2 linked regions of the Caenorhabditis elegans genome follow. The protein of the gene in region 1 purifies or fractionates together with the protein of each later gene. This does not show direct contact. Each region holds a gene or a part of one and is shown in the gene's direction. Other genes may lie near its edges.

The links. The genes of interacting proteins can lie anywhere in the genome.
Region 2: the proteins of coq-1 (region 1) and mppb-1 fractionate together in Caenorhabditis elegans (co-fractionation; one large-scale study listed by BioGRID). This does not show direct contact.

The regions. Positions count from the first base shown.
Region 1 is NC_003279.8:5,412,311-5,417,222, reverse strand, and holds coq-1 (All trans-polyprenyl-diphosphate synthase PDSS1), read left to right. Parts: upstream 1-1,593; 5' UTR 1,594-1,687; coding exon 1,688-1,731; intron 1,732-1,781; coding exon 1,782-1,878; intron 1,879-1,931; coding exon 1,932-2,045; intron 2,046-2,092; coding exon 2,093-2,169; intron 2,170-2,486; coding exon 2,487-2,578; intron 2,579-2,623; coding exon 2,624-2,727; intron 2,728-3,092; coding exon 3,093-3,203; intron 3,204-3,300; coding exon 3,301-3,436; intron 3,437-3,482; coding exon 3,483-3,626; intron 3,627-3,786; coding exon 3,787-3,968; intron 3,969-4,015; coding exon 4,016-4,096; 3' UTR 4,097-4,382; downstream 4,383-4,912. Other genes in the region: erp-44.1 (Thioredoxin domain-containing protein), read left to right, coding at 17-118.
Region 2 is NC_003282.8:9,073,099-9,077,087, forward strand, and holds mppb-1 (Mitochondrial-processing peptidase subunit beta), read left to right. Parts: upstream 1-1,574; 5' UTR 1,575-1,578; coding exon 1,579-1,611; intron 1,612-1,657; coding exon 1,658-1,780; intron 1,781-1,829; coding exon 1,830-1,916; intron 1,917-1,976; coding exon 1,977-2,106; intron 2,107-2,159; coding exon 2,160-2,545; intron 2,546-2,628; coding exon 2,629-2,733; intron 2,734-2,788; coding exon 2,789-2,908; intron 2,909-2,959; coding exon 2,960-3,056; intron 3,057-3,104; coding exon 3,105-3,400; 3' UTR 3,401-3,473; downstream 3,474-3,989. Other genes in the region: Nuclear hormone receptor family member nhr-11, read left to right, coding at 122-270, 321-422; mans-4 (alpha-1,2-Mannosidase), read right to left, coding at 3,496-3,634, 3,677-3,989. UniProt on the Caenorhabditis elegans protein: Catalytic subunit of the essential mitochondrial processing protease (MPP), which cleaves the mitochondrial sequence off newly imported precursors proteins. Preferentially, cleaves after an arginine at position P2.

The DNA.
Region 1 (4,912 bases):
TCGTAAGACATTTCAGACTGGAAATCAAGCACCGGACACTGAGCCACCACCGTCTACATTCGAGAAGTTGAAGCCTGCTTCTTCGAGATACACAATTCTTGACAAAACGGAACTTTAATTTCTTTGATTTTTCATTTTTGTTTATAACAGAGCTTTATATCACAATTGCAACATGGCCTTGTTTTGCATTTCTCTGGTGTTCTTTTTTTTTAATTTTCAGTTTTATTCGGTCAATTTTCCATTGGTTTTGGTTTTATTTCTTGGTTTCTACGAGGTCCCCCCACACACAACTATTTAATCCCCGATTTCCACAAAAAACTATACATTACTATGTTATTCCATCGGATTGTTGTTCTTTTGCCAATCAAAATCCATTTCTTTCCTATTCATCTCTCTGAAAGTTTTAGTCAATTCCTGTCTGTGATGCGCGGTTTTATTCTTCGTTTTCCCATGTCTCTATCCCTGTCTTTTTTTTGTTTTTAGATTCAATTTTATTTCAAAAATTTTTTGAATCTTAAATTCAAAAACAATCAACAATGTTAACAGAAACGAATGAATATATTTATTCTTTCTATTTCTTCAATAACCTTTTTGTTTTGGCGGTTAAATGGATTCAATCCGATTCATCTACTTGTCAAAGGTGATTGACCAAATTTTTCACAAATATTTTTATTTGTTCCTTTTGAAAATTATCTATCGATCTTCTTTATTCTCGATAAACTCGAACCAAAGAGAGAAAGAAACAAAATTTGATAAAAAATATATTCTTTTTTGCTAGAGAAAAGAGAATTCAAAGAACACTGAGATAGGGACGAAGTGCGTAAGAAAGAGAGAGCACAGAGAAAAAGAGAAGCGATCTTCGGCGGTGAAAAGGGGAAAAGTGGGAGGCTACATTCATTTTCCATCTTTCTGATCACCTTTATACAACAACTAATTTATTTTTATTTTTCCGAATAAACTGTATTCGGAGAGACTTCTGTGAATCTCTAGTTGAAAATAATGATTCTCTAATATTTAAAGTATTTAACAATATTTAAAAATGGACGTATGGTTTTCAGATAACATACTATAAATAAGAGATAAATTGGTGATATAAATGCCAATTGATGCAATAATTAGTGAAAATGGTCGAAAACTGTAAAATCTTGAGAAGTACACTGGTTGCTTGAATCAATCAGTGTATATAAAATTGAATTCAATTCAAAATTTGGCAAATAAAAAAAATATAAAAACTAGTTCCTGGTTTCTATATTTTCTTTTCTAATCCAAAAAATTATTTACCAATCTAACATTGAAAAAAAATCAGAGATATTATTAAAATAAAGTTCCTCTCAAAATTACTCCAAAATTTTCATTGGCATTTTCAAAGTGTTTAGGCTATAATAATATAATTTATTCAAAATTCTCGGTTATAACTATACTCCTTTTTACTTTTAATCACGTCAATCACATCTTTAATGCGAATTTCAATTATCAGCTGTTTCCTCTCCTGAATGGACAGTTATATCTGTTATCAATGACTCTTTTGGCATTCTCAGAAGCCTCAATTTGCATCATTCACTTTTCAAAAAACTTATCTTCATTCACTTTCAGACCTCCTAAACCCACATGAGCCGCCGGTGAAACTAGTTTTTGAGCACTGAAAGAAACAAAAACTGGTATAAAGAATCAAGAATAGAAGATAATTATGGGTGTTCTACCGAAAATCAATATTGTCGCAAGGCAGTTCAGGTAACAACTTTTGAAATTTTAAATTTCCGAAATTCAAAAAAAAATTGCAGAAAATGTTCAATGGCAGCCACATCAACATCTACATCCTCATCAGATAATAGTGTTGCTTCAACAGCTTTCGTGCAGGAACATGTTAGACAAATGCAGGTTTATAATTCACTAAATTCAATAAAAGTTTAACCAAAAAACTGAAATTTCAGAACGATATAATGGTACAACTAATACCACAGGATGAATCGGGTGCCGTTGAAAATCTAGCAGACTTGAATGTTACATCGAATTTAGGACGAATGACACATTATTATTTTCAACAGGTTTCTAAAAATATATTTTTCCAACTCATAGACATTGAAAATTTCAGGGTGGAAAAATGTTACGGCCGACTGTATCGCTTCTTATGGGAAATGCTTGTAATTCCGCAGCGAATCGTTCAATTTCGTAAGTTTATTACATGGAAAACTTTTTATATCTGAAAAAGAAGAGCAGTCTGATTTACGTAGATAGTGCACAGGAGAAAATGATTTTGCTATTTTTGGCATAACTTCATATTGATGAAAATGAAACTAATTTTAAAATATTCCTATGGTGCTGAAATGACTACATACCATGAACTTTTCAAAACAATTTTCAATTTAACTTTTCACATGTCGTAGTACAATTCTAACAGTAGTTAGTCTAATGGAGTTTGGCAGCCCGTATTGATGTTCACTAATAAAATGTTTACTGATCAAAAACGAAAAAAAGTTTTTTTGCAGAGAAGAGTACCTGGCAATGTTGTCAACAGAACGATCAGGGATCGCCGCTCATTTATCAGTATGTCAAAATCAGTACAAAATAGGAATGATTGGTAAGACTATGAATAGTCGGAAAAGAGAAATAAAGAAATTTACAGCCGAAATGATCCATACAGCGTCTCTAGTGCACGATGACGTCATTGATGAGGCGAATACAAGGCGTGGATCAGCTAGTGTCAATGCTGTTTGGGGAAATAAAATGGTAGATTTTTTGAAATTAAAACAAAATTTTAATCTTGAATATAACATATCACGATCTATAAAAAATAAAGAATTTTCAAAACAAATTGGATACTGTAATCCGACAAATTTATTCTTTTTTTGCTGAATTTTCCAAAATTTTCAGCTTTTAAAGCAGCTTTCTCTGCAAAAAAATTATTTTTAGATTTTAGAAATGTTGATTAAAACTATATTTTTTGGAGAAAAACTGTGAAAACCTGGCAAACAGAAAAATCGAAAATTTGGTCGCTCTACAGTAACCTCTTGCGCATAAATTTTTCTCTTGTAAACTTAGAAGAAGTTTTTAGGGATAAAAACTTCTAAATTTATGTTAAAAAACATTTTCAGTCAGTGCTCGTCGGAGATTTCATTCTTGCTCGTGCCACGCAGATTCTTTGCTCCATCGGAAAACCCAACATCATTTCAGTTATGGCGTCGATTATTGAAGATTTGGTTTTAGTAGGTTTTAATCAATTTATTTATTTATTTATAATGAAATTTGAATATTTATACAGCTATAAATTTTCAAATTTTCTTCTAATAAATAATATTTTAGGGTGAATTTATGCAAATGTCAACAACTCCAACAGATGCTACACCAGTAGACAGAATGAAGGCTTATATAGAAAAAACTCATCGAAAAACTGCCAGTTTGTTCGCCAGTAGTTGCCGGTCTGCTGCTATTCTTGCAGGTGGTTTTTGCATCAATTTTCTTTGCAACATATCGGCCTTTTTCAGATGGATCAGATTTGAAGCTTCATGAAATTGCGTTCGAGTACGGTCGAAATTTGGGAATCGCTTTCCAACTTGCTGACGATCTTCTTGATTTTATAGCGACTGCTGATGAAATGGGAAAACCTGTGGCCGCTGATTTGAAATTAGGTGAATGGAATTACCGATATTTCGTAAAAATTTGGCACTTCATTTTAAATGGTTTTCTGAGTGGGTCTCGCCACGAGTTTTTTTGAGAAGAAAACGAATAATATAGTTTCAAGTTTTTGCAAAAGAAGAAAAAATAATTTTCAAATTTTTTATATTTTAGGTCTCGCCACTGCTCCGGTACTATACGCTTGCGAGCAATATCCTGAGCTCAATACGATGCTTCTTCGAAAATTCAAGCATGATGGAGATGCTGAAAAAGCACGGGAAATTGTTGTAAATTCGGATGGAATGGATAAAACGCGAAGATTGATTGATTCATATTCACAAAAAGCTGTTGAAATGGTAATTTTTTAAACTGAAACATAGAAAAAAAAAATTAAACTTTTCAGGCTTCATCCCTCCCCAACCGCAATGAATCTACGGAACATTTAATCAAATTAGCCATGTCACAGTCGGATCGAAAATTCTAAATTTTTGCTGAAAAAATTGTTTCCCTTCTTGTTTTTCATATTTCTCTGTAGCTGTAGGATTGTCGTAAAACCAGTTTTTAAACCACTTTCTGGTTTCTGGCACTCTTTTGTTTTTTTTTGTTTTTTCTATGCATTTTCGTCCGTTTTTTTGTATTCCTGTAGTTCTCATTTAGTTGCCGTCTTTTTTGTTGTTTTTTTACAGTCAGTTTTTTTAAGATTCAGTCAATTTCATCAGTAGAAAATTATTGAAATTTTTAGATTTATGAAAATGAATTCCTTTTTTTTTAAATACGGTAACTTTTAGTTGTTGTCAGGGTGGCTCAGGCGAGGGAGAATGAGAATATAAGAGACACTCTGACCTCTGCGTGAAGTTGAAAATATTTTTCAGCGCATTTTTTCCCTCGTTTTCGGTCAAAGAACGCATAAAAAAGAGAGAAATTAGAGAGTTCTCATAGCAGAGAGATTTAGAACAATTCCTTTTTTGCCGCCGCCGCTCCTCTCTGTTGACCACCCAACCAACCAAAAACGGAGCACTCGCCATTAGAAATCGTTGAAAAGTGAGAGAGCTTAGATGAAACGACGCTCCGCCCGTTTTAGCCATTCTTGTGTGAAAGAAAGGCATTTTTTCTTGCTAAGAATTTTTTTTCGTTCTTATGTTTCTTCATCGCCCTAATTTTCTTGAAAATGAGTTATGCGAAAAATTCGAATTATAATTTTTTTTTCTTCAGTTTCTGCGATCTGCAAAATATTGACGGCTTCAACACAATAAATCCACAGTTCACCGTGAGTTTTGAACTTTCGAAAAAAAACCTGTCA
Region 2 (3,989 bases), on another chromosome or scaffold:
GCCAAAGTGATTAACACATTTAGATTTGTTTTAAATAAAAATTCAAATACGATATACATAAGTTCATAATCTTTTTAAAAAAATGTATTCAACTTTCAAATTAATCCTTCAATAATTTCAGCATACTTCAAGCTAACTGAAAATGGCCGTGAAAAATGTCGTAGACAAAGGAATATCATAATTGGCTTTCTATCAAAAATGTGTCATTCACCAGGTGGAGGCGGAGAGCATCGTGTTGGAGAACTTCTGATGAGTATGAATTATCTCAGGGTTTGTTTATTTTTGTATAACAGCTATCCAGCAAACAAAGGATATTACAGGAATCTGCTCAAAAACTCACAACTTCTTACGTGATGCTCACAGTTTTCAATGTTCTCAACTGTGATTCAATGCTTCATGAAATGCTTAATTTTCAATACTAGCTAAATATTTGTGTGAAAGTGTTTTATTATGTTCAAATTTTATTGTTTTATCATGATCGTCAATAAAACAAGGGCAAATACTGTTTTACTACTTGATCTCTTACTACGTGATCTCTTTTACTATGATTTGCATACATAGATCTTTTACGACGTTTTACTCTTTTGCTACAACCGTATTTTTTACTCCGTTATCCCATTTCGATCTTTTGCTACAGTTTGTATCTTTTGTTACGGTGGACATTTTTACTACAATGACAAGGATTGTATCCTTTACTAATGATTTTTTACTACATACGAATTAAAAATTAATTTTCATAGTACATATATTCTAGATATGAACAAATGTATGAATATTTTTTAAAAATGCATAGGTCACAGTTTTAGTTTGTTCTCAAGTAGTTCTAGTAAATTTCAGTTGTTTTCTTTTGATGGGATACTGAGTTGGAGTTCATGGAGAGATACTGTTGGGTTACTGTAGTTGTACTGTGGTAGTAAGAGTTTTCAGATTATATCGTTTTTTTTTTTAATTTCTAGAAATTGATTCATTATGAAATGATCAGAACTTATTATGAACATTTGGCTCTAGATATTAAAAAAACACGATATGCTCTTTTGTTCTCTTGTAATCATGAATAAGGATCGCTAGATACCCACTCCTGTTTGTGCGCGATTATAAATAATCCCCGAAAGGACATTTCCAAAATTACCGTTTCCCTGGACATCGTTTTCCAAAAATACAAGCTCTAAACGAGAGCCCCTTGATGTTTTTTATTTGGTTCGAAATTTTATATGTCTGCATAATCTGAAAAATTAATTGGAAATTCCGAAGTTATGAAATACCGCGTGCAATTGTTCAAAATCTTTTATTCAAACTTCCGCCTTTTTGCCCGCGGCGGCCGCGTTTGTGAAAGTTCTTCCATTCGCTACGTACACCTCGTGGACAAAGTTAATTTCACTTTTTTAGAAGCATTTTCTGCAATTCTGTTCAATTTTTGTTTAATTCGTTACTCTAATCGTTTTGTTGTATCAATGTCAGCAAAAAGATTTTTATTCCAGTATTACGTAGATTTGTTTGTGTTTAGCCGACAAATTGAGCTTCACTATTGCGTAACCATTGTTTCCTTGAAAATAGAGCATATAAATTTTTTTCAGATAAATGTACAGAAGACTAGCCTCCGGCTTATATCAGGTAATTTAAACAATTTTGTTTACAGTGAAAGTAATTTATTTTTCAGACTTCCCAAAGAAGAATCGCACAAGTTCAGCCGAAATCAGTATTTGTCCCAGAAACAATTGTAACGACACTTCCGAATGGGTTCAGAGTTGCAACAGAAAACACAGGTGGATCTACTGCTACTGTAATTATTTTTCCTAAATTATTTGTTTGTTCAAAGCTATTTTTATTAGATCGGAGTATTTATTGATGCCGGCAGTCGCTACGAGAATGAGAAAAACAATGGAACAGCTCATTTTCTAGAGCATATGGCGTTCAAAGTTAGTTTAATTTAATTTTTAGAAAATTTTGAATTTCATATAAAAATCCGAATTTTTCAGGGAACGCCTCGCCGGACTCGAATGGGATTGGAGCTTGAAGTTGAAAATATTGGAGCTCATCTAAATGCGTACACTTCTAGAGAAAGCACGACGTATTATGCTAAATGTTTTACAGAAAAGCTTGACCAATGTAAGAAATAAAATTATTAATGCAATTTTTAAAATATCTATTCCGAATTGCAGCCGTCGATATTCTTTCGGATATTCTTCTGAACAGCAGTCTTGCCACTAAAGATATCGAAGCAGAACGTGGTGTAATTATTCGAGAAATGGAAGAAGTTGCACAAAACTTTCAAGAAGTTGTATTTGATATTCTTCATGCTGATGTTTTCAAAGGAAATCCTCTTTCCTATACAATTCTTGGTCCAATTGAATTAATTCAAACAATCAATAAGAATGATCTTCAAGGATATATTAATACACATTATCGAAGTGGCAGAATGGTATTAGCAGCAGCCGGAGGTGTCAATCATGATGCGATTGTTAAAATGGCAGAAAAATATTTCGGAGAGCTCAAGCATGGAGATTCTTCAACTGAATTCGTCCCAGCCACTTACAGTCCCTGTGAAGTCAGTTTTTGTTTGAATAAATTCGCTATCAGCAAATATTAAATAGAATTAACAAAATATATTTTTAAATGTTTACATTTCAGGTTCGAGGTGACATTCCAGATCTTCCAATGTTGTACGGAGCGATGGTTGTCGAAGGAGTATCTTGGACCCATGAAGATAATCTTGCCCTTATGGTGGCTAATACGGTACTTTTTTAAAAAATATTTTTATAACTTAGAAGTTGATAGTTCATCATTCCAGCTAATGGGTGAATACGATCGTATGCGTGGATTCGGCGTGAATGCTCCAACTCGCTTGGCTGAAAAATTGTCACAAGACGCAGGAATTGAGGTTTTCCAATCATTTAACACGTGCTATAAAGTAATGAATTCCTGGGAAAAAAAACTCTTTTTACATATTTCTGTAATTCAGGAGACAGGATTAGTTGGAACTTATTTCGTAGCTGCTCCGGAATCCATCGACAATCTTATTGATTCAGTTCTTCAACAATGGGTTTGGCTTGCGAACAGTGAGTTTTTATTTAACATAGTCCTGAGTCAACATCTTTCATTTCCAGACATTGATGAAGCAGCGGTTGATCGTGCCAAGCGCTCCCTGCATACGAATCTACTCCTAATGCTCGATGGCTCAACTCCAGTCTGTGAAGATATTGGTCGACAACTCCTTTGCTACGGTCGTCGGATACCAACTCCAGAATTACATGCCCGAATCGAATCAATCACAGTCCAGCAGCTCCGAGATGTTTGCCGACGTGTATTCCTTGAAGGACAGGTCTCTGCAGCAGTTGTTGGAAAGACGCAGTATTGGCCAGTTAATGAAGAAATTCATGGAAGATTGATCAGAATGCAATAGATACATGTGTTATAGTTTATTTGTTAGACAAACGTTTTGTTTTTGGTAAAAATAAATTCTAAAAACCCGTCAAAAAGTGAAAAATACAGCATCAGTCAATTGTAAATTGGAAGTGGGTGGGCTTCAGTGTTGAGAACCCATCGATCGAGTGGAAGGATTTCTTGATCATCAGCCATTAGAAGGTAAAGGTATTTGAGGGTCTCAGCAAGGAAGAATGATTCCATTTTGTCACGTCTGAATTTGAATGATTAAAAATTAAACAAAATGCTGACAAACCTTTTGATCTTCTTTCTGAGCACATTGTCAATTGAGCTGTATCCACCAGTTTCCACTTTTGCATACTTTTCAATCGACTCAAAAGCTTTCCATCCCCACTCTTGATATTTCTTATCTTTAGTAACACGATACAAATAGAACCACGCTTCAATTGCTTCTGGACGGAGAAGTGAATGAGCATCAAGATTCTTCACATAAGTATCCGCTTGTGTCATATCAGAACTATCCTCCATATTGAAATGTATTATTTCTGGTCCAAGTCCTGTTGGATTTTCATACATTTTATGACAAACATTTCCAATATTTTTAGCCA